Saccharomyces cerevisiae S288C: one gene and its partners. The gene in region 1 interacts genetically with each later gene. Each region holds a gene or a part of one and is shown on either strand. Other genes may lie near its edges.

Region 1 (7,533 bases):
TTGTTATTTCTAGAGTAATATTCTTTTACGTCGTTGGACATTTCCACTAGGTCCTGTAAATTATTCAGGCTGTCGTCCTTCAAGTCATTTATCTTAGATTTTATGTCATTTTTAGCAAGCTCATCGGCTAGATCGCTCATAATATGATGGACGGTATCAACTTCATTCATTAGTTGACTGTTCTTCTCTATGATTTGGACCTCTAGTTGTTCGGAAGTTTCATAGAGTACATCATTCACTTTATTTCTAAAAAATGAGAGGTCGTTTTCTAAGATTATTCGATTGCTTTCGGTCGCATTTCGCAGTTCATTGTCATAGTTGCGGAACATCCTGGCCAGATCGTCCAAAAAATTTTGAGAATCTTGCTCCATTTGAAACATCAGATGATTTAACTTAGTATCGACATCATCCCCAAATGAATCATAAAGTTCAGTGATATTTAGAAAAAGTTTCAGTATCTGTTCTTTTTCAAAAGGAAGAAGATTTTCATAACAAATACTCGATAGTCGCTGATAATTTCCACTATAAGTTGTCCACCACTGTGAAGATGATTCTAGTTCAAACATACAATCCATCATTGATCCTAGGTCGTCAACCATGCAATTTTCTGGTATTTCGCCCAAGCCAGATGCCTGAAACTCGCATATTGAAAGTTTAATGGCCGTTTCTACCCTTGTTTCAGCGTCAATGGATTCAAGTCCATTTGCAATACATTGTGGCAAAAATAATTTTAGTGCGTCTTTAACACATGTTGATTTCAAGAATGGAAATTTGGATTCTAATACATTTGTCGCAACGGAATTATCTGTGTATATCAATCTTCCTTGCAGCAGATTGTTGATTTTTCCTAGTTCGGAGCTTGAAACAAACTTAATACAAATTGCAAACAAATAGACGTAGCGCATTTCAAACATTCAAAGTTTTTGAATAGAAACAGTTGTTGAACCAGAATATGTATACTTCATTGGTATTCCGAACCAGTGTTTATATATAGAAAATTTGTTCAGGATTAATCCCAAACAATTATGATAAAACAACCCGCTAGTGTGACACAGTTACAGTACGTATTCTTATTTACATTGTTTATTTGCGTGGAATGCGCAATTCCCTTTGCAGTGAGTTGCTCTTATGCTGCCTTTTTTTTAATATAGACGATTTATGGGCGTAAAGCTTCTCGTTCAGTGCAATTCAAATATTTCTCGATGAAGTACTTTTTAAATTCCTTATTATAACCTACAGCGCCCGTATTCTTAAGCGCGTGATTTCTCTCACTATTTTTGAGAGCCCTAATAATTTGTAGTTGGTATTTATGACTTAGTTTGATCTTATATGTATCTATCATATGAGCCATCATAGTGTAATTTCCTTGAAGTGCAAAAGACAGTATAAATTTCTCCACGAATTCGCTGGGCACGTTTTGTCCATATATTGGGCTCACTATATTGAAAACAGTGGATAGATTTCCGGAGTTGATCATTGGATCTTTAGTAAATGTTAATACTTTTTTGATAAAAATAGGTAAGGTGCTATCCACAGCCCGTTTTGCGTTATTGGATTTTCGAATAATATTTAGCAGAGAACACAATTCGTCGAAATGCCGGCACATAGGTATCAAAAATTTGAACAGGTCTATTGTTCCATAATTTTCTATTATGGGTGCAAGATCTGCTATGAATGCAAATTTGGATCTTATATCAAAAATCTTAGTGCTTTTATCGAAATGAACATCAATTGCCTCCAAATATCTATTAATGATAGTAGCCTCTGGTAAAATACCCTTTTTTATTAAATGGCCCAAAAAATTTTTGCTTTCATTCAAATTGCCGGTTTTAATGAAATATGATAATAGTTGTTCAATTACTATTGGGTGCAATGAATTTTCGCAACGCCCTGGAAAAAATCTGTTGTTGATCGCTGCCAATAGGTTTTCTAGTGCGGTAACCAATGTGGGACTGTACGGTGGGTTTTCATTTGCTTCCACTTTACAAAGGATATTATATAAAATAATGTTCATGGCCTTCATTTGGTCTAAACGTGAATATAATTGCATCTCAGTAACATTTATTAGTAGTATAAGTTTTTCAGTCGAGTTTCCATAATTCTTTATCAAATAAGCCAGTATATTCTCGCAAAATAATCTTGTCTGTTTACTGTCGCGGTCAAAAATATTCTGTAGTTCATTATTTACGGACTCGACCCTGGATTGCAAATCATTCGTGTTTTCAATCTCTGATAATATATTTTCAAGACCTCTTAATTTGGCAATATCGGTTGAAGACAAATGCAGAACGTGAAAAGATCTAACGCTTTTGCTCGCAGGTGTAAGTACAATATTTCTTTGATGTTGTCGTCTTGCAACGAATTCCATCAACCATTTATTCACTCCCCTAATATCATCAAACTTTAATTTGCTATCAACTAGTATGGTTTTTAGGCTCACCGGGTGTTTTATCAGTGATGGAGCAATTTTTTTGCCATCAAGCAGGCTAGGATTGTATTCCGTAGCGCATGCCGTGAATTGTTCTATTGCTGTTGGTTGGTAAAATGGGTGAATTATTTCTTCCGGATGAGGAACTTTATCGGCATGTTTAATGATCTTTCGACCGTCCGCTACTAAAGGAGTCTTTTTAAGTACTGGGTACCATTTGCGAGATTGCATCCTAATGAAGCACAGGTTTCTCCATTTGCTGATTTCTTGCACTGTAGTAATCATTTTCTAAGACCCTTAACAGATAGTGATGGAGGAAGAAAAAAATGTACAAATATTTGGAAGCCGATTGGCAAACCGATGTAACGTGCAAAATGACACATGATGTTACTTATTCAATGAACCCTCTATATGTCACTTCTGGAGCAATCAGACTATCTGTATGTGTTGGAGCCACTTCATATTCTGAGCTATTGCCGTTCTGTTTACTCTGGTAAATGTCGGAAATTGAGTACTGTTCCATTGAGCACGCATGCGCAATTGACTGTTGCGATTCATATTTTTTGACTGACACAACTCTTCTCATGACCCACAGCATGGAACAACAAAGTGCTACGCTAATAGTAGCGGCTAGCATTAGCCAGCCGGGCCAGTCCAGTTTGGAGATGAACAGAAGAATATCTACCAAAAAACATAAAAGACATAGCATGAACGTTGGCAGCGAAAAAAGGGCCGTGAACAATAACATCTCAGGTGAGTCCCCTAGTGGAGTTACCATGATAATCACTGCTAAAATTAATAGCGTTCCTGTGAATGCCAGTGAAATCGGGTGAACCACTAATAAATTGGAGACGACCACTTTTGAGTTCGATGGCAGGGTCAAAACGTGCCCGGAGGAGTCGACATCTGTACTGTCATATCCTATCTTCATTTTCGTGCACATCAATTCTTGGTTTTGACCACGTACACACCAGCCAAACAGGCCATAATAGTGGTTTCTGAATGACGATAACGATAGGTACTTGGTCACGGGGACGGTTATTAGCGGAAGTATTTCGAACATGGTTGTGATTGCTAGCAAAAACACCACAATATGGATCATGCTAACCATTCTCCTCTTTTCCTCAATGAATCTGTCTCAACCGTATAAATCTTTGTTTAGAAGGACGTCTCTACTCATTTCCCGGTTCTCAACGCTCATCACTATCTATCTATATTCATTGTTTCTTAGCTTATACTTGCGCGCGCCGCTGGTGAAAATCAAACTATAGCGAGATTCGACAATAAATTGGCAGTTACTTTTAGTGATAAAGAAAAGTCATGTTTTGTATATAGTCATAGCATGCTGTGTTGTAAATGTGATCTGTCTGAGACGTGTCAGTAGATCATAAATTTACAAACATTAAAATACATTTTTCATCGCTGTATAGCAAAAGTAATCTTATACTTTGTTGGTATGCTGAAGTAAAACACAGGGCTCTTGGCTTCACCCCCACGCTGTATCATAGAATAAAGAGAGTAGTGATGCAATAGGGCCGTGGTTAGACCCAAATTGAAGGTAGCGTTGATAGTAGTACTAAGTGAGAGTGCTTAGCAATCATTATTGACGGTGTTTTCTTGGCGAAGGTCTTTTTCTACTGCGATGGACAGGTAGGATGACTCACTGCGTAATTCGTTGCCAACTTCTTTAGTCGTCGAGTATATAAAAGCCTCATCCTCGGCTCGCCGCACAAAGGTGACGATTTTTGGGCTAGTATCAGCAATACTTCTATTCCCTTTATTTAAAGAAGTCCAAAATTCAACATAGCATGAGAATATCATCAACATTGCTTCAACGCTCGAAGCAGCTTATAGATAAGTATGCATTATACGTGCCCAAGACGGGCTCTTTTCCTAAAGGATTTGAAGTAGGCTACACTGCATCTGGAGTCAAAAAAAACGGGAGCCTGGACCTGGGTGTAATCTTGAATACCAATAAATCTCGTCCTTCAACCGCAGCAGCTGTTTTCACGACCAATAAATTCAAAGCTGCGCCAGTTTTGACATCGAAAAAAGTCCTTGAAACTGCTCGTGGTAAAAACATCAACGCTATTGTAGTCAATTCCGGTTGTGCTAACTCGGTCACAGGTGATCTTGGTATGAAAGATGCCCAAGTAATGATTGATTTGGTTAACGATAAAATTGGTCAAAAAAATTCTACCCTAGTCATGTCTACAGGCGTTATTGGACAACGACTACAGATGGACAAGATCAGCACTGGTATCAATAAAATTTTTGGAGAAGAAAAGTTCGGCAGTGATTTTAACTCTTGGTTGAACGTAGCCAAATCAATCTGTACTACTGATACTTTCCCAAAATTAGTTACATCTAGATTCAAATTACCTAGTGGTACTGAGTATACTTTGACAGGTATGGCAAAGGGCGCGGGTATGATTTGTCCGAATATGGCTACCTTATTAGGTTTCATAGTTACAGATCTTCCTATTGAAAGCAAGGCGTTGCAGAAGATGCTGACTTTCGCTACTACCCGTTCATTTAATTGTATATCGGTGGACGGTGATATGAGCACCAATGACACAATTTGCATGTTGGCCAACGGTGCTATTGACACCAAAGAAATTAACGAAGACTCTAAAGATTTTGAACAAGTAAAATTGCAGGTCACAGAATTTGCTCAGCGCTTGGCCCAGTTAGTCGTTCGCGATGGTGAAGGTTCGACAAAGTTTGTTACTGTTAACGTTAAAAATGCTTTGCATTTTGAAGACGCCAAAATAATTGCTGAATCAATCTCAAACTCTATGTTGGTCAAAACCGCACTATATGGGCAAGATGCCAATTGGGGAAGAATATTGTGCGCGATCGGGTATGCAAAGCTGAATGACTTAAAATCTCTAGATGTCAACAAAATTAATGTTAGCTTTATTGCTACCGACAATTCAGAACCTCGTGAGCTGAAGCTTGTCGCTAATGGTGTGCCACAATTGGAGATCGATGAAACAAGGGCTTCTGAAATATTGGCTTTGAATGATTTGGAAGTGTCTGTCGACTTGGGAACCGGTGATCAGGCAGCACAATTTTGGACTTGTGATTTATCACATGAATATGTAACAATTAACGGTGATTACCGTTCATAAATTCATGTATATTTTGTTCAATCTTTCTTTTATAAGCATGGTTATATAAACGCACAGAAACAGAGTGTTTCCTGTACCTTCTGAATGAGTTTGGCTATTGCCATATTTTTGAAAGAATTAACTATTTCCGTTTTTATTTATGTACGAGGCACCTTAACTATCCTGTCACATCGTTTTTTTTTTACTTAATTACATACAGAGGTTCGCCTATTATAATAGATGTGTTGGTATAAATATTCATATATACCTATTTATTAACGTAATGTTAACCTGACTTGGTGCTCTCAACTGTTGGAATCTCTACTTGATCATTTAAAAAATTCACCAATTTCTGCGCATCGAGTAAATTTGTATTAAAATATTGACGTTTTGGTATAACGCTCAATAAATCAAGAACCTCTGTTGGAAGCTCTGAGTCTCTTTTGAATTTCTTATTGGAGAAGTTTCCATTGTTTCCAGTTTCCTCCATTAGTCTCTTTCTATCTGACGAACTCATATTGTAAGAGCCATGATGGCCATCCCCGTTTCCAGAAGAAAAGTAACTGTCTTCTTCCTCATTATACATATAAGTTAACTCTAATTTCTTTATTAAGTTGGAGTTTTGAATTTGATAACGACTTGTGAAAACTTCAATCAAATTTTCTTGGGGGAACCGTTCGAAAAATCTTTTCTCTAGAGAATAAACGTTGTTTAAGTTACCGAATTTCGATTCATAACTTATCATTTTCTTGTATATTTCCTTCAGCTGGGTTAAATCTTGCACTTTTTCCACTGATGTTTCAAATAAGGTTTTGATCTGCGAATCCTTATTTAAAAATATTAAAAAATCTAAGTATTTGTTGATATAAACTCCATCGTTTTGGAAGTATTTTAAACCCAATTCTAAAACCTTAAAAGCAGTCTTATAATCGTTTTGATTTTGAAATTCTAAATATGCATTTTCCACGTAGACGTCATGTGTTAATATACGCTTCAGTTTACGACATTTACCAAATACAGTACGTGCTGCGGATAGTCCTGATATTCTTTTCATCGTATTCATATACACGCAAAACACGAATGTTAATTTTTCCCTCTGTTTGTATAGCAGCTCTTGTTCATACTCTGTGTTATTATCTTCACCCGAATTTACATCGGAGGCGATCTTTTTATACTGCGATAGTAAAGTTTGAGTGCACTTGTCAAAACAGTTAGAAACACTTTCAGAATCATTATCCAGTTCGTAGCATTCGGATAACTTGAATGTAAGAGAAGGTGAGTCGGGATTAGCTAATAACGCAGTATATAAGATATTTTGTCGATCCGAATTTTCAGATATATACATTGAATAATCGTACCACATTTCAGCAGAAAATATCATGTATTGAATACCTTGTTTATAAACGTAACTGATTCTTTGTGATAGCATATCTTCACTAAGCATCAACTTATTCTCCCTTTCCCATTTTATCCAATTCAACCAAATCTGTAACTGCTGAATGTTTGAGTCTGAGGTACCTGGTTGTGGTATGTTTTTCTTGTTTGCTGTGCGCAGATTAATTGGAGATGCCCTTTTCAATCCATTAGTAACGTTCAACCATTCCTGGTATAAGGAACGGGCTTTCATGTATTCGGCTGATAACTCGCCAATAAATTTTCTGGCTGTTAGGGAATTTATTTCTTGTTCCCATTGAGTGTATCTATTCCACATTTTTTCTAGATTATCAAAAGGAACACATAGCATTTTCTTGTAGAATTCTCTGAGCATGTCAATTCGCTGTTGCTCCTCCCATTTGTTGAATGGCTTCCACTGCTCTAAAAAATTGAGATATTCGTTCCAAAAAGAAGATGATTTGGGTTCAAAAATTGCACACTTTTGCATAACTAGTTGGAATGCCTTGACAATAACAGCTCTCGCCTCTTGTCCACCAGTAATTAAGTTGTTTTTTCTGCGTATGTAGTCCAAATATGTTGACCAAAGAGATAGGTCAT
Region 2 (7,630 bases), on another chromosome or scaffold:
GAGAAGATGTCATCGAGGTTAGAGGAAGCTGAAGTGCAAGGATTGATAATGTAGTAAGAATGTGAATATATCACATAGAATCACCAATTCCATTTTATGGATTCCTATACCACGAGGAGAACTAGTATGTCCTGGCTATCTAATATTATGGCCTCTAGCAGCAACGAAATGCCAACAATTAAATCCAAGTTCACCTATTCTGACTTTTATATTTAATAACTAACATTTTTATCAACGATGGAATTCCAACAGCTTTACTAATCTTTACTTGTAATTTGGCTTTTTAGATCTATAATATTTATTGTATGGAAAGTAGCATCCAACCAAATCCCGCGAAGTTTTCCTGATTTACATAACAAGCAAATACTAAAAACGTTAACACACATGTGCTTCTTTATTGTAAAGAAACCTCCATCATCCTCTTTTGTAACTTGGTCCTACAATAAATTTATCCAGTGTGACAGCTTTATAGGAGGCGTAAAGTAGTCTCATGAAGTAGATGAGTCTTGTTCACCATATTTTTCTTCTCGACTGCGAATTAACACTGTTCTTTGATGTTAGAACAATTTAGGTTCAAAGTACGAGTCACGACATGTAACAAGGGAAAAAAAGGATATTCATTTCAATAAAGTTCGTTTTATAAAAGTATAGTACTTGTGAGAGAAAGTAGGTTTATACATAATTTTACAACTCATTACGCACACTCATGGTTTTTGGCCAGCGAAAACAGTTTCAAAAGATTGCTGGAAGTCTGCAATAATGTCATCAATAAATTCGATACCAACAGAGACACGAATTAAGTCCTTGGTAACACCAGATGCCAACTTTTCTTTGTCATTTAATTGTTTGTGGGTAGTGAAGTATGGAGCAATGACTAAGGTCTTGGCATCACCAACATTGGCCAAGTTAGAGGCAAGCTTTAAATTGTCAACAACTTGAGCACCAGAAAGTTTGAATGGGTCAGTTTCCTTGTCGGCATTTGGTAAGTCTTTTACACCGAAAGATAAGACACCACCGAAACCGTTAGATAGATACTTCTTAGCATTTTCATGATGAGAATGAGATGCTAAACCAGGGTATGAAACCCAAGATACGTATGGGGATTGTTCTAACCATTTGGCTAACTTCAATGCATTTTCACCGTGTCTTTCAGCTCTCAAAGATAATGTTTCAACACCTTGTAGTAGCAAGAAAGAGGCAAATGGGTTCATCAATGGACCCAAATCTCTTAATAGTTCAGTTCTAACATGAACGATGTATGCCAAGTTACCGTAGGCTTCATTGTAGATAGTACCGTGATATCCTTCGGCAGGTTGAGAGAATTGAGGGAACTTTTCTGGGTAGTCCTTCCATGGGAACTTACCAGAGTCAACAATAATACCACCGATAGTAGTACCATGACCACCAATCCATTTGGTAGCAGAATGTGTTACAATATCAGCACCGTATTTAATTGGCTGACAGAAGTAACCACCGGCACCAAATGTGTTGTCAACGACAACTGGAATACCGTGTTTGTGAGCAATTGCAACAATTTTTTCAAAATCCGGAACATTGTACTTTGGATTACCAATGGTTTCCAAATAAACAGCCTTGGTTCTTTCATCAAAGACCTTTTCGAATTCTTCTGGATTGTCACCTTCAACAAATCTAGCCTCGATACCAAATCTTTTGAACGAGATTTTGAACTGGTTATAAGTACCACCGTATAAGTAAGAAGTGGAAACGATGTTGTCACCAGTGTGTGCCAAACCTTGGATGGCAAGGGTTTGAGCGGCTTGACCGGAGGAAACAGCCAAAGCAGCAGCACCACCTTCTAAAGCAGCAATTCTTTCTTCCAAAACATTACTGGTTGGGTTTTGGAAACGGGAATAGACGTAACCTGGAACTTCTAGACCAAACAATTGCGAACCATGCTTAGAGTTTTCGAAAACATAAGAAGTGGTGGCGTAAATTGGTACAGCTCTGGATCTGTGAGCATTGTCACCAGGGTTCTCTTGGCCGGCGTGTAGTTGAACAGTATCGAAATGAGATGGCATTGTATGGATGGGGGTAATAGAATTGTATCTATGTATCTGACGACCCTGTATTACACGAAGGAAATAGTAGATGAAAAGACAAGAGAGCAAGAAAAAGGAAAAACTTCCTTTCTAACAGACGCTTTACTTAACCTTATATATATCTTATTTTTTTCATCGAGCGTGTTCAATTGGACAAGGTGCCACCTTTTCGACACTTCGGTTATTATGTTACACAGTTTTCATGAGGATGGCGCCTTGACTAACTTAATTAGTCATTTGCCAACCACCACAGTTCCCCAATATCGACAGCTTCACGTGCCATTTGCCATTTTGCGATCATGTGACCTCAAGAGAAAAAGCAAAAAATAATGAGAGCTAAGGGATTCGAACCCTTGCATCCGAAGATATCAGAGATTTTAGAGGTTAAATCCACCTAAATCTGACGCCTTAAACCACTCGGCCAAACTCCCATTGTATGTTGGAAGAATTGGATTTAAATGTCTATTATAGCATTAAATATCTTTAAATACATTCAAGAAATGGCGAAATTATTTCTTAGTGTTGGAATAAAAATCAACTATCATCTACTAACTAGTATTTACGTTACTAGTATATTATCATATACGGTGTTAGAAGATGACGCAAATGATGAGAAATAGTCATCTAAATTAGTGGAAGCTGAAACGCAAGGATTGATAATGTAATAGGATCAATGAATATTAACATATAAAACGATGATAATAATATTTATAGAATTGTGTAGAATTGCAGATTCCCTTTTATGGATTCCTAAATCCTCGAGGAGAACTTCTAGTATATTCTACATACCTAATATTATTGCCTTATTAAAAATGGAATCCCAACAATTATCTCAAAATTCACCAAATTTTCACTTAGGTATTTTCTTTTATAAAGTCTATCGTTATAAAAATACTATATAGATCCCATAGGTGCTTATTATAGCAGCAGAAGAAAGTAGAAAACGATTTATTCTCCTTTATTAAGCGTGATATTCAATAACTTCCCAGTTCAACCCATTGCTGGTTACAGTGGAACCTTTCTTCAAATTTTCGTAGCTTTGTGGAATTTTGTTTACTTCCTTACCGTAGCTTAATAAGAACTCAGATTTACCTGAATCTTTTTCAAGTAATCTGATGAAGTTCAAGCCTTCAATAGTGTTATTATTCTTTTGGGACAAAAACCCTTGAATCCATCTACCAATAACAATAACCAAACCATCATAAGCTTCGTCAGTAACTTTGAGGACAATTGACCTAGCATTCGACGAGAACTTCTCATTGTTTGGTGAGACGATGACTAGATCTTCTCTTGATGGGTCAACTGGTTGCCACAATTCTCTGAAAGAGACGCTTTCTTTGTCGGCACCGAATGGGTAAACAGCGCCTGTTTCCTCGACACAACCAGAATCCCAATTTTTCCAAGTGGTGTTCACTTCGCCACGATGGGTGTTTGGAACGTTCAAGTACACATTTGTATCCAACCAGAAATTGAAATCTTGAGTAACGACACCGTTTCCTTGATCATTAGCTTTAACTGTTTCGTTTGTACCGGCAAAGGCCCATTCGAAAGGAAAAGATAACTCATCACCGCTTGGCTTAACAAATGGTCTCAAGGAAATATAGTGCCCATCAGTTGAAACAGAGGATAAGGTGAATGTTCTTTCGTTTGGATGAGGACCCACTTGAAACAATAATCTTTTTAATAATGCTGGCATTGTAACTTAATTTTTTGTTTGTTGTTGTTTAAGTTCTTTTATCCTTCCTTAGATAACACCTTAAAGCTCCAGTTACAACAGCGGTGAGAATTGACTTTATATTCGGGGCACTTCCGGTTGTTTTACGAACATGTGATTCGGAAATTTTATGCAAGACGACACGGAACGGAACGTATGCCGGCGGAAAAGCTCACGTGTGAAGAAGAAAACAAAAAGAGTAAGCTGGATTTTCTTTTTCGGAGATTCTGTAGAATTTTTTTATTAGTGCAATGAGGTAAAAAGGAAACTAATATTAAATTCTGAAGGTTATGTTACATAGTTTTTATTATTATTATCGTATATTCTATAAGTGTACCATATAAAATAATGTCTTTACTTAGACTTAAGTGAGAGATCTCTGTAAAATGTTGGATAAAAAAGAGATAATGAACTAAAAGGGGTAGATAAATTAACGTTCTGTTAAGTTTTGCTGATGAAAAATAACATTAGAAAATTCAGCTAAAATGAGCGGACTGAGGGCGACTTAGTTAGAAATTGTGCCACATTGGTTTGGATACTTTCTGTCAGTCAATGGTTGAGGGAATAAACCATTGAACATCAATCTTTGAGCATCCCATTCCAAACTAGATTCTGTCTTGTAACACCAGATAATCCAACCCCCTCTCATTTCAAAGGCATCTAGTTGTGCCTCCACATAACGTCTTGTGTTTTCCTTTCTTTCGTCAGACCAGTAAGCTATATCATCGTTGTTAGCACAAGAGCCAATGTAAGAAGATGTTTGGTCACCATTGACCCAAGAACCGTCGTATCTAGCGCCGAAGCCAACACTATTCAACCATTTTGTACAATCAGTCAAAGCGGCAGCAAACTCACCACAAACAGTCCAGTGGGATTCATTCAAAACTCCGGTACCCCATTCACAAGCTACTTTAATATGTTCATCAATGGATCTTTCCAATTGATCAGAAGCAAAGACTTGGTAGTGATGATGGTCGATAGTGACACCCCAGTAGCCATCGTTTTCAGTCATGAAGTCATCCCAATAATTGTATGGTTGGAAAGCGTCATGGATGATGATAACTTGGTCACTCTTGATGTTGTTTCTCAAGTATTCGTAAGCAGGTGCCAAGTAGTCATTCTTCATTTTATCCATGTCTAGAACAGGACCCAATGGCTCATTAATCAATTCGATACCAATAACAGTGTCCAAGTATTCCTCCGCAGAGTATTTTTTCAATATGTAGTTCAAGACATTTGTAGTAACGGCCAAATTGCTGTCTTCCAAAAACTTGTATGAATCTCTCAAACCAGAGTTATCAAACCCGTTCTGCGAACCAGCGGCACCATGCAAATCAACCCAAACTTTCAAGCTGTTGTTTCTAGCCCAACCGATGGCTTGGTCTAGGTAAGATTCCTGTAGGCCGCTAACATAAGGATCATCGTCCAAAGTTTGGAAAGCCCAGTAACCGATAGGAATTCTGACAAGGTTGAAACCTTGGGAAGCAATATTAGCGAAATCTTGTTCTTGGTAGAAAGTAGACCAATGGCTCTGTAAACGGCTTTTAGCCAAATCCTTACCTAAATATTGACAGAAGTGATATTCGTCGACAGGAATTCCTTCGTCGTTGTCATCATTTGTACGGAAAGCCTCGAACAAAGATGGAGTAATGTATGGTTCAAGAAGTAACCAACCACCAATGTTGACACCACGGATTGGTTCTCCGAGGGAACCGTGGTCATAATCGTAGTATCTTTTCTTGTTCTCCTCATGAACAAATTGAATGGAAGAAGGGTCTCTTGCAGGGACTGGGGTAGCGAGTACTGATGACACAGTCAACAACGTACACAGTAACGTTTTAAGCGAAAGCATTTTAGTTGGTAATTAACTAGAAAAAGAAAGTAAACAAAAAATCAAAGGCACGTGTTATTCAAAACTTTTGGGTCCTCTCGTAAACTTTAGTTTTCTATAGTTATTTTTGACTTAGTCAATACATAATAAAAATTACTAAGAAAAGGGAGGGAGTATTTAAAACGTCTGCAAAAACATTACTTTTTCCCAAAAATCCATCCAACTTATATACATTTTTTATCATCCACGCCTTTTTATTTAAAGTGCCTTTCTCTGCAACTGCTCATATGACGATATGAGATGGCAAGTTCAAGTTTGTTACACCGCTTATTGATGTGCACACAGGTACGGAACACGCTAAAATTATAACGGCGTGCTCGAGAGAAAAACCCAACAGGGTTGGTCTGGGCATCTCCAGCAAGCCACGGTTTTAAATTGACAGTGCTTCACACTGCGGTGTTGTCTGGGGCGCCTCTGTATTTGCGGCAACGCGCCTGGTTACGGGCTTGTCTCAGGCTCGTGTGCACCGCACTGTAAACACAGGGAGGATGACTGGGTCAGGTCCCCACGGTTTATTTATAGTAAACAACAATGCGCGTATGTGTGCGTATTAATGCTATAAAAAGAAACGCGCAGTATCAAGCCATCAGATTTTTTTAATAATGGTAAATACGTATGCTGGCATCGTTCCGAAGTCGCGTCTCGGCTGCAAGGTAGGGAAACTTACTGAAAAAGGCAAAGCTCGCATGATCTGGATTTTTTGTTTTGTTTTAAGGGCGTATGCCCTTTGTTAATGAAAAGTAAATATTGATTCTTTAAAAATAAACGCAAGCCCAGTATTTATTTATATACCACAGAAGCAGGCTCCCTACATTACGTACTATTATCTTGAACTATATTACAGTACCATTCTTACCCCACATCTTAGTATACGGAGGAGATTCCTCTTTTTCTCCAATAGTCACTCACCGCATGCCATTCTCCCCTGACATTGCGTATAGCATTAACTACGCTCTTGGGAAATACTTCTTTCATCGTATATCCCATTTCCTTGAGAGTGCTTAGTACGGCTTTACCGATCATGGGGAAGCTTTCCAGTTCTATGCGGTCGGGCAGTAACTGGTGGTGTATACGTGGATAGGCTATCGTTTCCAATATAGGCATGTTATACCAGTACGTCCTCACAATTGTTTGTAAAACACTCGTAGTGATTCTTGAGCCGCCGGAAGCGCCGACCACGAGGTCTGGGATGCCTAATTCTGACAGCACAATAGTGGGTGCAGTGGATGATAGGGGTCTTTTCCCGGGCTCGGGAAAGTTGTATATGGAGGGTGCCAATTCAAAACTATTAGATTTGTTGAATTGAGCGAAATCGTCCATTTCATTATTGAAGATCACCCCGGTTTTTGGGTCGTGTACTAAGGAACCGAACAACAAGTTGATGGTGGTTGTCAAGGAAACAGCATTCCCATGTGAATCTACTATACTGAAGTGGGCAGTTCCATGCGGGTTATTGATATCGTATGCCGGATCATAAAGCGTCCAGTTTTCTAAAGTTTTAAAATTTCCGTCTTGAGAGTTTCTTTTGATTGATTTCACTGCTTTCAAAGCCCATTCTGGATCCAATACCTCTTCTATATGCTTAGGTAATGCTTCGCCTTCAAAATCGCCTAACCTGCTTCTTGCGCTTGCCATCCATTTCATGCTTTCAAGCAAATGATAGGTAGTTTCTTTTTCATAATCGCCCCCTTCTTGATTCTGGAAATTATCCATTATCCTTAACGCCGCAAGTAGTGCAGCCCCGGAACTTGAGCCGCTACTTGTTAATACGGTCATATCGTTATCAGGGATGAAATTGGCGCCCTTCCTAATTTTCATGGACAGTGGTTTAGTAACATGAACATCATACGATGAAACATCCTGCAAGTTCATTATTCCATTGTATTTTGCGACAGTATCAATCATGGATTTTGCAATCCAGTGATCGGGGTCATAAAATGGGGCCACGGAACCATTTTTAGCCAG
Region 3 (6,643 bases), on another chromosome or scaffold:
GTCATTGCGAAACACTTCACATGTTTCATTAAAGCACGAAACGCGAAAAAAAAAAAAAAATAAAAAAAACAAAAATAAAAACAAAAACAAAATGTGTTGAAAGTTAATATACCAATTGATAAATTGAAGCAAGGCCTGGGATGTTAATTGGAAGAAATTTTATCGTAAAAGAATATACAAGTTAAAAAATATAAACCCAAGGTACGTATACTTGGAATATTACACATTCATTATATACATATATATATATATATATATATATAATTAAAAAAACCGTCGATAGAAATTGAACCTTTAAAATAATAGAAAAAAAGAATACAAGATAAATAAAACCTCAAAAAAGTGAAAAAGAGCTAGAAAACCATGCAGTTCTTCAAGAAAAAGAAAAAAAGAAAGGAAAAGTGACACTTGTGGGTTAAGTTTGACGAATACCACTATGAAATCAGATACTACGGTGTAGAAACTCGAAAAAAAAAAAAAGGTAGTGCCTCTAAGGCCTGCTAGCTTTTGTAATTAATGTTCTTAAATCTCACTTGTTCTTGTTGAGATCTTTCATTATCATTAGATTGATCCAAGTTGAAACTGAAGTCATTATTGGTGGTTGGCGCCATTAATACACCCGGAGCTGCACCTACCGAAAAGTTGCTGTTATTATTGTTGGTATTGCTGGAACTACTACTTCCTAATCTAGAATGAGGAAGTGTGGTGTAATTGTAGTTTATGATTGGTTGGTTGGACGGATTCGAACTGTTCACAGAATTGTTAAAATTATTTTGGATAAATTGTGATTGCAACGTACCCATGTCTTTTTGCGTCGGCGAAATCATACTATGTGAGCCCGGATTGCTGTTACTACTGCTGTCAATGTTACCTTCAGGGTTGCCGTTATTTTCAGAATCATTAGCAATAGCATTATTTGCATTTGTATTTGGATTCAAAATTGTGCTCGCAGGATGGTTTTCTGGTGAGGAAATTGTTGATTTTTTGGTTCCTACACCTTTTCCTCTACCTTTAATTCCCCTGTTTGAATTTTTATAAATGGACGCAAAGTACTCCAAAAGTTGCCGCTCTTCAAGTGGAATATTCTCAGATGGATTCATCTCAGCTAATTTTGCCGTTAAGGCATTTAATGTTTCCTTATGAAATCTATTTTGATGGGCCTTCATATTTCCTAGTTGAGTGAAGGTCTTGTTGCAGTTTTCAAGCTTGCAAACAAATGGTTTCAATTTTTGGTGAGTAACCAAGTGAGCAGCTAAGTTCCCTTTCCTAGAAAATTTTTTATCACAAATATCACATGAATACGGTTTTTCACCTGTGTGTAGTCGTTCATGAGTTCTTAAGTTCCCACCCTGAGTAAAACGTTTGCCACAATAATCACAAACGAATGGTTTGTACCCTATATGAGAACGAACGTGAACCTCCAGATGAGTCGCTTGCGAAAAAAGCCGATGACAATAGGGACATTCATGTTTTTTAACTGCTCGTGTATTTTGTGTGCCTTTTGGTTTCTCCACACCACCTACTAGTTCGCTTTTAGGTGGTAAAATGTCCATCGTTTGGTTAAACAGTAAGTCTCCATCTTGAGTGGTATTTACTTTCTCCGTGAAACCTTTCTTTCTTGCTTGAATAATCAACATTAGTTGGTCGACCTTTGTTGCACCTATCAGGTTAGTAGCATCATCACTTACTGAACTTATGTCAGGTATAGGAGGTTCTTTACCAGAAAAGTTTGCCATTGCTGCTCCTTCAGCAGAAGTAGAATTGTCTTTACTCATCGGGGGATCAGTACGGGGCATCTCATTCTTGACGTACACAGTAGAATCATCCTTTTTCCTTTTCTTGATAATATTAGGTTGCATACCAGACTCGTCTATATGTTTGTTCAATCCCTCACTGCCTTCAATTACGTCGTTTTTATCCAATGGTCTTGATATAGCACTAGAGTAATTATCCTCATCATTCAAATGTTTTCGAAGTCTTTGTTCTATTTCTTTTAGATCTTTCCTACTATTGCTTGTGGTATCGGTAGAAGCAAGGCTATGGTCCTCTTGGTTTGGGATATTAGTACTGGTGGCGGAATTAATACTATTGTCGTTATTATCATTATTGTTGTCATTGTTGTTTTCATTGTTGTTGTTGTTGTTGTTGTTGTTATTGTTATTGCTACTGTCATTGCCATCATCATTGTCAACTTCATTACTTTTTCCTTTCATGTTATTGGTAACATTATCCGCGACAGGATCACCATTAGCTTTGTTGTTAACGGATAGTGAGTTTAATCTTGATTCAGGTATAAACGCATTTTGGCTGCTATGGTCCAAAGTACCTCTAACAAAAGAATTCCGCCTTTTGAATTGAAAATCGAAATCTTCAGGATTAAACTTCAAAGAATTATTTCTTGAACTCAAAAAGTACGGGTTCTGATTAGAATTACTGTTGTTTGTACCAGTATTAAAAAATGATTCATAATCTGCATTTGTGTTCATATTCCCACTATTATTGGTGCCATTGGACTGGCTTTTAGTAGTTGCTGCAGGTATTAACAGTGGAGGTCTCATAGAGTTTGATTCTCTTCTACTGCTAGGCTGGAACTGCGGTTGCTGTGACTGCTGCATACTGAAAAATTCAAAATCAGGCCCATCATTAGGTCCAAGATAAACAGAGTTTCTTTTTGAAGGTGGCTGCGAAGTATTATCATTTCTTGGTAAAAATTGATATTGAGAAGAACTTCCCGTTAATCCCGTCGAAAATGAAGGGGTCTTGAAGGGAGGCTGCTGGTGCGACTGCTGTTGTTGTTGTTGCTGCTGTTGCCGATGCTGATTTTGAAGCTGCTGTTGTTGTGGGAAGAGGTTGTTTACAATGGAAAAGCCGCGTCCGATTTGCGACAGGTCTGGCGGTTGATGTGTACTTGAAGTGGATAATCGTGGAAGATTGGAATAGGCGCCGCCAGAACTAGGTCCTCCTGTACTTGTTACTGGTACGTTATCAGATATGTTCAAGAATGAGTTGATAGAGGCGTCCGTGGAATATCGTGGCTGGTTGAAATTTGTATAATATGAAATCGACTCATTCCTTTGTTGTTGATGTTGCGGTTGAGAAGAAGCCGGTTGACTTTGATTAAGAATAGGAGTAGGGCCTTGCCCATGCTCCTGGTTTTGCTCCCCAGCTTCGCCTGATGATTGATTTTGGCTTTCATTTTGTCCCGCCTGCGTAGGGCCCATGAACTGTGCAGTTGGAGGAGGCATGGCTGGTAATTTTTCAATATCTGAATCTTTTGAAGTATATCGCTTGTGTAGCTGTTTTTGTCCCAATTAATTTCTCTGTGGGACCATCTATAGTACTACAAGGTTCCCTTTTCTGATGACTCTTCTTGCTTATGCTTCATTTCTACTGGAATTAAAGGGACCCTTCTTTTCCTCCACTTCTCAAAGAAGCGAAATCGCGGGGCACGGGCGTAATGTTTCTAAATAACGATTAACACTGAATATATCCTTCTACAATACGTAGGGCTATATAAGTCTTGGGATCACCAATTCGTATCCCAGGAGTCTGAATCCCCATCATCATCCCAGCCGTCAACATTTCCTTTCTTGGTTACCGAGCCGCGGATACTACTTATAGGCTTACTTCTTGCAGTTTTATTGGACAGTGACGATTTGGTGGTAACAGTAGAGTTACTAGCAATGTTTCTTGGTGCTAGGATCGTTGTTTTCTTCTTCTTGATAGAAAGCCTTGAGCTAGGAGCGATGGATTTTGCCAACGTTGAATTTTGTGGCCTTGTGTGTTTTTGAGGCACCTTTGATGGGCCGCTTTCATCTTGAATCCAGCCATCATCATTCAACTCATCATTCCAACTTTTATTAATTTTAATAGGTTTTCCGAATAATTTTGGGGTGCTTGCGGTTGTTACAGGGTTTGTTGTTTCATCGAAGGATTCTGTGGTACCATTTGTAATAAAGCCATCGGTATCGCTGAGGTCGTCCCATCCACTTCCATCCTGGGCGGAATCAATTTCGCTCTCGGTAATGTTACTTGGTGTTGTTGCTGAGGGAGAATTTAAACGTAAATTATTTAAAAATTGTGCGGCTAACAAATTGTCTTCTTTATTCATATCCTCTTCATCACAACCGTAATTCTCAAAATCAATATCTTTCACATCTTCCGAATCTGCAGTACTATCGTTTGTTTGAATAAGTTGGGCTTCTTTTTCCAATTTTTCCAGATATTCTTCGAACAGGATTTTGGCTCTGCCTCTTACTATGGGACTTTTATCTAATAAACCAGGGGCAATGACTGTTAAAATTTTGTTGGCGATTGTGTTCACATCAAACAGCTCAATCGACTTCTCAAGCCCATAAAGAGCAGCCAATCTTGGTTTTACTTGAGGATCTTTCAAAGATTTTGTGAACGCCGTAGCTAAAATATTCGAGCGATTACCAACTGACGTTGATAATATGGTTGAGATTTTACTTATTATGATGACTGTCCATGTTCGGATTTCAACGTCAGAATCAACCTGTGTTTTTGCGAGAAACCTCAGTAGCTCATTATTCAGTTGTCTCTCTGTTAAACATGACACAATGCATGGAATTGTCTTCAGTGTTTGTAATCTAAGAGTGGCATCAGAGTCGGTCAGACCTTGGATAAAATGTGGATATATCCTACTGGAGATCTCTGATTTGCTCAATGGACCTATTAATTTGGGTAGGTATATTAGTAAAAGAAATCTTACTTGCCTATCTGGCAGTTTAAAACTTTGGGTGATAAGGTCGTTGAAACCAACTGGAAAGGTGTTCGTTTCAGAAGTTAGGTCTAAAACAATCGCTAAGAATGGTACTAGTTTATGTGATGCGTTGAAGTTCATGCCTATAGGGCTGGCAGCACTACTGATGCTTTGTGTCATTAATAATTTTATAATTTCACAAAGCTCTGGAATAATAAAATTTTCTATCATTCCAGGCGTTAAATTACGGAAAATCTCTCTTGACTCTAAATACAAATTTTCCAAGTTTGACATCACAACCAATTTTCCCTGTGGGTCCTTTATATGCAACTCCCTCAATTCTTGATAAAAGTTTATCAAAGGATTAGAACGCCAAGTTTCTGTATTTTCTAGCCTTTTTCTGAAGTTTTCGATTGTTATCTTTCCATCTGAAATCATATTTACATTGACAATCCAATCTTTGGGCAGACAAGAAGGAGCCATAAGGCTCTTTATCAACAATCCTAACCCCATTGAATCAATTGTATTCGGATCTTCACAGGGCAACTGTGAGCCAATTATGTTGTAATATGACCTCGCTCTACTGGCAAATTCAAACGCACTTAATCCTTCTTTGCTTGAACAAAGTTCTAGCCCAAATAGTACCCACTCTCCCTTAATATTGATAAAAACAGAATCTTTAGAAAGCGTACCAAGGACAAAGTTTTTTAAAAATCCTAAAGTTGCCAATAATTGTGATATTCCTAATTCAACACCAAATTTGTTTTGAGATAAAGAGCCTAGATTATCCCAAGGAAATGGAACTACTCGTTCGGTAACAATAAATGTGGATTGGGGGTCGGAATCAAATGTCTCCAGCACCGTACAAAGTCCTGGAATCTTCAAAATTTTGCTCTTGTGTACAGCATTTAAAATTAAAGATTCATTTTCTGGAGATCTTTTTGCCTTAAAAACTGTTACTGGCAAGGAATCTGCCTTCCTTGTACCATCGAAACATTGCCAAAGGGCGGTTTCAGTGATTGCAGTTTCCTCTATGGTGTATGGGAACTGGAAATTCGAAATAGATTTGAAAATGCTGGAAAAATTCATCACTTACAGATACTTGTTCACCAATAAAAGCAACGATAGTAACAGTGTCAAACTCTCGACTAAATAACTTGACGATATTATTGTTTTTAAGATACTTATATTTAATATAATCATAATATAAACAGACAAAGAGAAAGGGCCTTTTTGAAGGTGAAAAAAATAGAAGATGTGCGCGAAAGCGTGAAATTCAAAATGCGTATTGCTTTAAACTTTCTTTACCATCAATCGAAAAACTGTCTCGTAGAATGTTAATAGCCGTGTTATTTAGCGCATGTATCTATTCACCAATGTGGCCTTTAATATCCGTTCCACTCATTCTTCTGGTGTTGCAAAGATTAACATAGTTAACTGAGCAACACCAAAGAAAACCTAAACGAAGGTTATATGGAATTAGCCTCAGCATAGAGTCCTTTGAACGTTTTATTGAGCGGTAAACCAACTACGTTATAGTAATCACCTTCAATTTTTTCAATTAGAATAGCACCTTGCCCTTGTATTTTAAATCCACCGCCAACCTCCAGCCCATCTCCGCTTTCTACATATTCTTCCAATATTCTCAAAGGTATTTTGTTATCAAAGTATACCTTGGTTTCATCTCGGAATGGTACCAATTCAAAGTTTTCTCTGCCGTACCATTTAATTAAAGTCACAGCGGTGACAACGTTAACTGGTTCATCATCTTCATAGCAAAACTTCATTAAAAACTTCTTTTGGACCTCTTTTGTTTTAGGCTTCTCGTAGATTCTCCCACTCTTATCTATAATAATTGTGTCTGCACATATGATAAGCTTAGGTTTATCAATTTCATTTGGGTTTTCATCTTCGTAATCT
Region 4 (7,897 bases), on another chromosome or scaffold:
AGAAAGGATGATAGATGCAAGAAGTAAGGCCAATCAAAGAGCAAGTCACTCTACACAGCTATCATATGAGGGGAGTGATCGCCGTACAGATAAGAAACCCAACTTTTTTCAAGACGCCACCGCTTGTGTAATCGCCATTATATCGAGGAAAGCCCTGCGAACGTGAAGTGAAAAGGACGGTTGTCCTTTTTCCTGTTCTTCGAGGATCCTGAACAGGATGTCAGTAGGGCGGGCCTTTTCTTTTTATTGTGCAGGTACGCATGTTTCTTTGACACAAAATAGTCTGGATTCGCCAGCCAGTGGCACTTTTGATGCCATTTCCACCACAGAAAACGTCTGAGTATTCAGCCATGGGAGGGGAGTGTTGAAAGGGGAGAAGCAGCCCACTTCTCTGTCTTGACACAAACCGCAGATTGCGTCACGGTTCTGCGGACGCCGTTAGCCCATTGGTGTCAAGTTATTGCGGGATTTTTTGGTGCCGTACGCCGGAGCCGACGGAGGTAAGTCAGTTCGCCGCTGCCTTCGGCGCCGTTATCTTATCTCGCCAGAAAACTCTTAGCTTTTCCGGGAAAAAAAATGAACAATACTGATTGCGTTACCCCAAGCTTATCCCACGTAGTTTTGTGTCTCTTTCTTGGGCTCTTGGCGGCCGTACGCATATAGTATACTAATGCGGTAACGGCTACCTCCTACGTCTGTATCAAAAAAGTTCGCTCTGGTCCTATCAATATTTTCTCCCACACGAGGATTCTGTGGTTTTGCAGCCACATCTACAGGATGTTGACTTTTTGTTTGTTTACGTAGTTTGTTTCAACGCTTTCGAAGATGTGGCGCTGGTGCAAGTCATCTAAGTTGGTTACTGATAACAAATTGTGACAAGGATGTAGTGGATGCGTAGGAGACCAAAATGACATCTGACACAAAAAAAAGTAGATAACGAAAACAGGACAAAGGTGTCATTTTGTTTTGCCAAGGAGAATTATAATCTTAGTGTGAAGATACTTTCATTAGACACATAAATTTACGTTCGACACACTTTTTTCTTACTCCTCCCCTTATCAAGGATACCTGGTTGATTCTACGTCGTCCTCTTCACTTTGGTTAATTCACCTTTGCCCTTCACCTTGTGGTGTGCGGGTGTTGCAGTCATTAATGTTCTTTATCGCGAGAGGGGGTCTACATAATCTTGTTTTTTCACTCCAATAAGGCAGTTATAGTGAATTTGTTTTATTACAGAAGGTGTACCCTTCGTTCGAGTTATTTTACTCTTGTTTTGTAGTTTGTACATCTCTTTATGTCTGGATCAAAACGATAATTCGAAGCTTATTGCAATTTAGTTCTCTTACCCATTTCTTTACAACGGGCCGAGAAAAAGTGGAGTTGGTCCGAGGAAGCTTTGAACGGGAAGAGGAAAAAACCTTCCCATCGCTCGAGCATACAATTTTTTTTTTTTCAATGCAGGCTGAAAAAAAAAAATTCACTTGATGATTGAACTCATCGCACTTTTATACAAAGCAAGAAAGAAACCCAAGTCGCAGTACACTAAGAATACATAGCAATGGCTTCCAAGAAAATTAAAGTTGACGAAGTGCCAAAATTAAGTGTTAAGGAGAAGGAGATTGAAGAGAAATCTTCTTCTTCTTCTTCCTCCTCCTCCTCCTCCTCCTCCTCCTCTTCTTCTTCATCTTCCTCGTCCAGTTCTAGCGGCGAATCTTCAAGCAGCAGCAGCAGCAGCAGCAGCAGCAGCAGCAGTGACAGCAGTGACAGCAGTGACTCTGAATCTAGCTCATCATCATCTTCTTCTTCTAGCTCAAGCTCAAGTTCCAGTGACTCTGAATCTTCTAGTGAATCCGACTCTAGCTCCAGTGGATCTTCTTCTTCCTCTAGCTCTAGTTCTGACGAATCTTCTTCGGAATCCGAATCAGAAGATGAAACCAAGAAAAGAGCAAGAGAATCAGACAACGAAGATGCTAAGGAGACTAAAAAGGCTAAAACTGAACCAGAAAGCTCTTCCTCATCGGAGTCAAGCTCTAGCGGGTCATCGTCATCTTCAGAATCAGAATCAGGTTCGGAATCTGATTCTGACTCAAGTTCTAGCTCAAGTAGTTCTTCTGATTCCGAATCAGATTCTGAATCAGATTCTCAATCAAGTTCTAGCTCCAGCTCTAGCGACTCTTCGTCTGACTCCGACTCCAGCTCCAGCGACTCTTCATCTGACTCCGACTCTAGCTCCAGCTCTAGCAGCTCTTCCTCGGATTCAGATTCGGATTCCGACTCAAGCTCGGACTCAGACTCTTCAGGCTCGTCCGATTCTTCAAGCTCGTCTGATTCAAGTTCCGACGAATCTACATCTTCTGATTCCTCCGATTCGGATTCCGACTCAGACTCTGGTTCTAGCTCTGAATTGGAAACAAAAGAAGCAACTGCAGACGAATCCAAGGCCGAAGAAACGCCTGCCTCATCTAACGAATCAACTCCATCTGCTTCCAGTTCATCAAGCGCCAATAAATTGAACATTCCTGCTGGAACCGACGAGATCAAAGAGGGCCAAAGAAAGCATTTTTCCAGAGTAGATAGATCGAAGATTAATTTCGAAGCTTGGGAGTTGACAGACAACACCTACAAAGGCGCGGCTGGAACATGGGGTGAAAAGGCAAATGAAAAATTAGGTAGAGTAAGAGGTAAAGATTTCACGAAGAACAAAAATAAAATGAAGAGAGGTTCTTACAGAGGTGGATCCATTACATTAGAAAGTGGTTCATACAAATTCCAAGATTAAAAGAATAGGAAACATAAAACAAAACTCGTTGTCTGGAGTAATCTCCTTTTAAGTTGTAGAGTAAACAAATTGTAATTATAGCAACGATAGAAAAATAATAGTAATAAAGACAATAATAATAGTAACAAAAATGGTAACAGTAATATTTTGTATTGTTTTCCTTTGAAAAAAGAAAAAATAAATAACCTGGTATATAGGTAATCGCGTCACTAAATAATTAAGCATTCAATAAAAGTTTTTTTTAATTATTTTTTTTTTTATGTTTTTGGCTCCTAGAGGTGAATATTTTCTTTTTCTTTCTTCGCAGCTATATACTAAATATTAGTGATATAAACAGCAAGAACTATAAACCTAAAAGTAGCCAAAGCCATGTATATATGCGAAACCCGAATCATTAGTTCAGTCCGATGAGGACATCTTCAATAATGTATCGATAGCAACAACTTCTTGTAAAGAATTCTCCTGTGTACTTTGCGTTCTTCTATGAGATGACCAACGTAACGGCGAAACGTTAACGTTGTCTACCCTATTGCTTTTGGCATGTTTGGACGAAATTGCCTTCAAGAACGCTGCATGAGCGGATGAATCTTCCAGAGAACTCAGAAACTTTTTGGATTCATCTAACGAGTGACAGCGCCTATGCTTAGCGGCAAATTTATTACTATAAGAGCCCTTTCGTATCTTTTCCGTCGGAGGTGGAGGAATCAAAGCTACTTGCTCATGTTCCTTTGATAGCTTAACCATTGCGCAGTTGAGTCTTGATTTTAGCGTGCGTGAAAACTCCCGTACGGAATCGTCATTCTCTTCCTCGATAACCGCTGTGGGAGAAACCAATGGGGGCGTGGGGGATGGAAACATTTCTGCATTCTTAGACCTGGGTGTTGTAGGTGTTATTGGTCCTGGAAAATGAAATTGTACGTTGTATTGATATGTGGGATCCTCATTGCCATCGGGCGAAGGGGCAGATGTAGGAGAATCTTGCGCTTCACTTATTGAAGTTTTGAAATATTTCCTTGCCGGCGTCGCCAGAAGGCTGTTAGATTCAGTATCCAGGTTGGGAGAGATCAATTCGTTTATCGTTAAGACTCTCGATTTGGGAGTCTCATTTACCGTTTCCCAATTAGGTGTCTTAAGAAACATTATATTCGTCTATTATTTATCCGTTTGTGCTCAGGTTCTTCTTCCATCCTCTTGAAAATACAATAAAATAACGAAACATTTCATTGCTTAGCCTTTCCTTAAATAAATTTCCTTATTCTCTATTCTTAGGCTCCTGTTCCCTTTTTAGCTTTTAGCCTTTAATGCACCGGTACGAGAATGTCCAAAAATAGAAATTCGCTACAATTAAATGACGCGTAAAAAAACAGTTAGAGGTAGTTGTTGAGAAGAAGACAACGTAGTGAATATGAGTGAATGATGTCTTTATAACTAACTAACTAATGACGACTAATGTTGTTGATACCATAGATAGGCAGATGCCTTTTTCCTGCGCTATACAATTTATAAATGAACAAGGCTGGCTAATAATATAAAAAATCAAAATCTTATTAAGAATGTTATGAAACATGTGTGCTAGGAAAGACAAATGGGTAGTGATGCTAGTTGAAGTTGATGAGCCTCGTTCTCCTTTTAGAGAGAGTATTGTTCTTATCATTGCTTGATGTAGCATTGTCGATACCTTCCTTCAAGAGAGCTTCCATGTCGTGATTACCGCACAATGGAATTTCCCCATTGAATATATAATAATCATTAGTAATGGCAGTCTTGCATAAGAAACAGTTTAGACAATCCACGTGGAATCGTTCCACCTTATCATTTTCCAGACATTCACCCTCTATGAAATTTGAACAAACCTTACAAATACTGTGATTCTCCTCGTGATAGTGCTTTTGACAATATGGTTCATCGCCTAGAATATAACAGGGAACATGTTTATTGAATTTGATACCACATTCAATGCATTTAAAACATTCACGATGCCATTGACCCGACAGTTCGTTTTCCTTTTTGGAAAACATTCTTTTCCCTGTGACTTCCAAGCCGCATGCTCTGCAAGGTCCCTCCCCAGGCGGATATTTAAACTCAATGGGCTCCGTTTCTTTATAATCTGCATCAGAGCTGTATCTCGTAGTGCCGCCGTTAGGTAATACATGAGAGTCATTAGATTTGGAATTATCAATTTCTTCTCTCAGATCTGTTATGTTGCGCTTATGCTGCAGTTGTAGTGCTTCAATTGTGGGAAGTTTCGTTCTGAAAGTTTCTTGCGAACCCATCCCTTCATTATTGGAGTATTCTACGTTCGACTGTTTAAACTTGTAAAAAATGGGTGTGCCACCATTAGTTGTAGATTCAGATGGCGCGTCTTCATCGACATCGCCTTTATCTACCAGAATAGTTTGTCTGGATAAGTTCGTATTGCTGTTTTGCACAATTGATGTTTGCTGCGTTACGGGTATATCCATGCTGGGATACCCAGATAAATATGCGCTTGACTTTTTGAATCTAGAAGCCTTTCTGTCCACTGCGTTGAGGCAATTGCCGTTCATATCGAGCTTTGCATTTCTAGATAGGGAAACATCGTCTAATTGAGCAATCAATTGTTCGACTTGGAGGTTCGTAGCAGTGTATGGTGTTTCCACGTTTTCTGAAGAAGTTATTGAAAGACGTTTCTCATTTAACCCATCAAGACTTAAATCTTCAACTTTTGTTGACGATGATGACACACCAGGTGATTTCTGTTCCTTTGAAGATTCCAGGCCAGAAAAGTTATCATCAGGATATATTTTAGAGTCTAGTGCGTTCATGGTTAAAGATGGTGTATTACTTTCCCTCGTAACATTAATTTCCGGAATTTTAGGTTCTGTATTCTTTTCCTCTTGTTTTGCTTCTGGAAAATCATCTTGAAGTGGTTCATTTTCAAGATTCATCTGTAGTTTAGGATCTGGTTCAAAATTTAGGCTTTCAATATCATTCTCATCCTCCTGCTGTCCTTCACTTTCATATTCGATTGAACTTTCCTCTTTTTGCTGTTCTTTTCCGAGTTTTTGGTCGAGCACACCTCTGTTATCGGTTTGGTTCATAGAATTTACAACGCTTGCAGTGTCATTTTGAGTCAGCATCATGAAACTTCTTTCAATAGGGCTCAAATCTTGTTCCCTTTCAGTATTACCAGCATCTTCTTGTTCGAAGTTGAAGGGGAAGTTATCTGCGGCTTGGAATTCCTTGTTAGCAGGTGATTTACATGTATGCCTAGAGGCAGCATATTGTTCCGCCTGACGGTCTAAGTCGCGTTCAAAACGGAAGGGATCCTCTTGCGAAGCACGCTCGCTGGGCCTGGAAATAGAACGAGATATGTCACTGGGTCTCGAAGACGTAAAATTGCTATTCTTTGGAGGAGTTACACTCCGCCTCTCGCTATTCTCCAATACGGGAGGCGGATAAATGTCAGACTCGCCCTTTACAGATGAATAAGCACTCTTTGAAGACGCCGTATACGCACTCTTCATCGTGACCGGAACAGATGGGGCGGCAGATACATTTCTTTGACGGGTTATTGGCGGCGACTTCACGGAAGCTTGTAAACTTCCAGTGGAAGCATTCCTCTGACTACTGAACGGATTACGCGGCTTAGTGTCAAACCCTGCTCTTTCTAGAGCAGTTTTGTAGCGGACCTTCGGATTTATTTTAGGGAAGGGGGACCCGTAGATTGAGTTATACATTGACTTGAGCGTTTCTTTTGCTAAATTTATTCTTGTTTTTCCCCTTACGTTATTCACTATAAGCTTTGAAGAAGCTTGAAAAAAATTCGGCTATAATATCCTATTCTAGCTGTATAAATTAAATATTCAACACAGCAGAAATATATTTTAAGGCTACCTCTTAAATTTGCAACACTCCAGCTTTTCTATTATTATTATTTACTTATTTTTTCATGTTTCCTATTATTCATGGAATTGAAAAAGGACGCGAATTGAAAATTTCGAAAGAAATAGGGCTAGGCGCTTCAAAAAGTCATTAGGTTTACTTACCAATATTAGTAGGTTAAATATTAGAAAAAAGGAAAAAAGATCTTAAGGGGTTTAAAAAAAGTAGGGTAAACTAGGGCTGACATATTACCCCTCTTATACGATAATTGCGACTATGAAACGCTAAACCACAATTATAAAGTATGGTTGATTCAAATTGTCATTATGTCATTATTGTACTCGTAAAAGAGGCCTGTATTCAAGTATTTGATCAAAAAAATTAGCGCTGTAATAATTATTGAAGGGAGTACAGGTATATGTAATAAAAGTCTGAATGAGCAGCAAAATATCAGATCTTACATCTACACAAAATAAGCCCCTCCTTGTTACGCAACAACTAATCGAAAAATATTACGAACAGATCCTGGGCACTTCCCAGAACATAATTCCTATTTTAAATCCGAAGAACAAGTTTATTAGGCCCAGTAAGGATAATTCAGATGTTGAAAGGGTGGAGGAGGATGCTGGTAAAAGACTGCAAACTGGCAAGAACAAAACTACGAACAAAGTAAATTTCAACCTGGATACTGGAAACGAGGATAAACTTGACGATGACCAAGAGACAGTAACAGAAAATGAAAATAATGATATCGAGATGGTTGAGACAGACGAAGGCGAAGATGAAAGGCAAGGGTCATCTTTAGCCAGTAAATGCAAATCATTTCTTTACAACGTTTTTGTGGGAAACTATGAAAGAGACATTCTTATTGACAAAGTCTGTTCACAAAAGCAACATGCGATGTCATTTGAAGAATGGTGTTCTGCGGGCGCCAGATTGGATGACCTCACTGGGAAAACAGAATGGAAGCAGAAATTGGAAAGTCCCTTGTATGATTACAAGCTAATAAAAGATTTAACATCTAGAATGCGTGAGGAGCGCTTGAATAGGAATTACGCTCAATTGTTGTACATCATTAGGACGAATTGGGTACGAAACCTGGGAAATATGGGGAATGTAAACCTATATAGGCACTCCCATGTAGGCACCAAATATTTAATTGACGAGTATATGATGGAGTCTAGGTTAGCGCTAGAATCTTTAATGGAGTCTGATCTTGATGATAGTTACCTTTTGGGTATACTGCAACAAACG

What was found.
Region 2: mutations in RIM9 (region 1) and HRI1 together harm fitness more than expected from each alone (negative genetic interaction), as found in Saccharomyces cerevisiae (2 studies listed by BioGRID).
Region 3: mutations in RIM9 (region 1) and AZF1 together harm fitness more than expected from each alone (negative genetic interaction), as found in Saccharomyces cerevisiae (2 studies listed by BioGRID).
Region 4: mutations in RIM9 (region 1) and SRP40 together harm fitness more than expected from each alone (negative genetic interaction), as found in Saccharomyces cerevisiae (2 studies listed by BioGRID).

Annotation. Positions count from the first base shown.
Region 1 is NC_001145.3:393,083-400,615, reverse strand, and holds RIM9 (Rim9p), read right to left. Parts: upstream 3,540-7,533; coding exon 2,820-3,539; downstream 1-2,819. Other genes in the region: KAR5 (Kar5p), read right to left, coding at 1-914; AEP1 (Aep1p), read right to left, coding at 1,157-2,713; ARG7 (glutamate N-acetyltransferase), read left to right, coding at 4,237-5,562; cleavage polyadenylation factor subunit RNA14, read right to left, coding at 5,828-7,533. UniProt on the Saccharomyces cerevisiae protein: Required for the proteolytic cleavage of the transcriptional repressor RIM101 in response to alkaline ambient pH, which is necessary for sporulation and invasive growth.
Region 2 is NC_001144.5:726,951-734,580, reverse strand, and holds HRI1 (Hri1p), read right to left. Parts: upstream 3,757-7,630; coding exon 3,022-3,756; downstream 1-3,021. Other genes in the region: bifunctional cysteine synthase/O-acetylhomoserine aminocarboxypropyltransferase MET17, read right to left, coding at 705-2,039; YLR302C (uncharacterized protein), read left to right, coding at 2,028-2,390; EXG1 (glucan 1,3-beta-glucosidase), read right to left, coding at 4,280-5,626; ECM38 (gamma-glutamyltransferase), read right to left, coding at 6,530-7,630. UniProt on the Saccharomyces cerevisiae protein: Unknown. Non essential.
Region 3 is NC_001147.6:530,677-537,319, reverse strand, and holds AZF1 (Azf1p), read right to left. Parts: upstream 3,246-6,643; coding exon 501-3,245; downstream 1-500. Other genes in the region: COPI-interacting protein CEX1, read right to left, coding at 3,527-5,812; YOR111W (nucleotide diphosphatase), read right to left, coding at 6,193-6,643. UniProt on the Saccharomyces cerevisiae protein: Transcription factor involved in the diauxic shift. In the presence of glucose, activates carbon and energy metabolism genes, and in te presence of glycerol-lactate, activates genes needed for cell wall maintenance.
Region 4 is NC_001143.9:607,547-615,443, reverse strand, and holds SRP40 (Srp40p), read left to right. Parts: upstream 1-1,558; coding exon 1,559-2,779; downstream 2,780-7,897. Other genes in the region: DNA-binding protein SRL3, read right to left, coding at 3,179-3,919; PXL1 (Pxl1p), read right to left, coding at 4,378-6,498; TGL4 (triacylglycerol lipase), read left to right, coding at 7,079-7,897. UniProt on the Saccharomyces cerevisiae protein: Not known; weak suppressor of a mutant of the subunit AC40 of DNA dependent RNA polymerase I and III.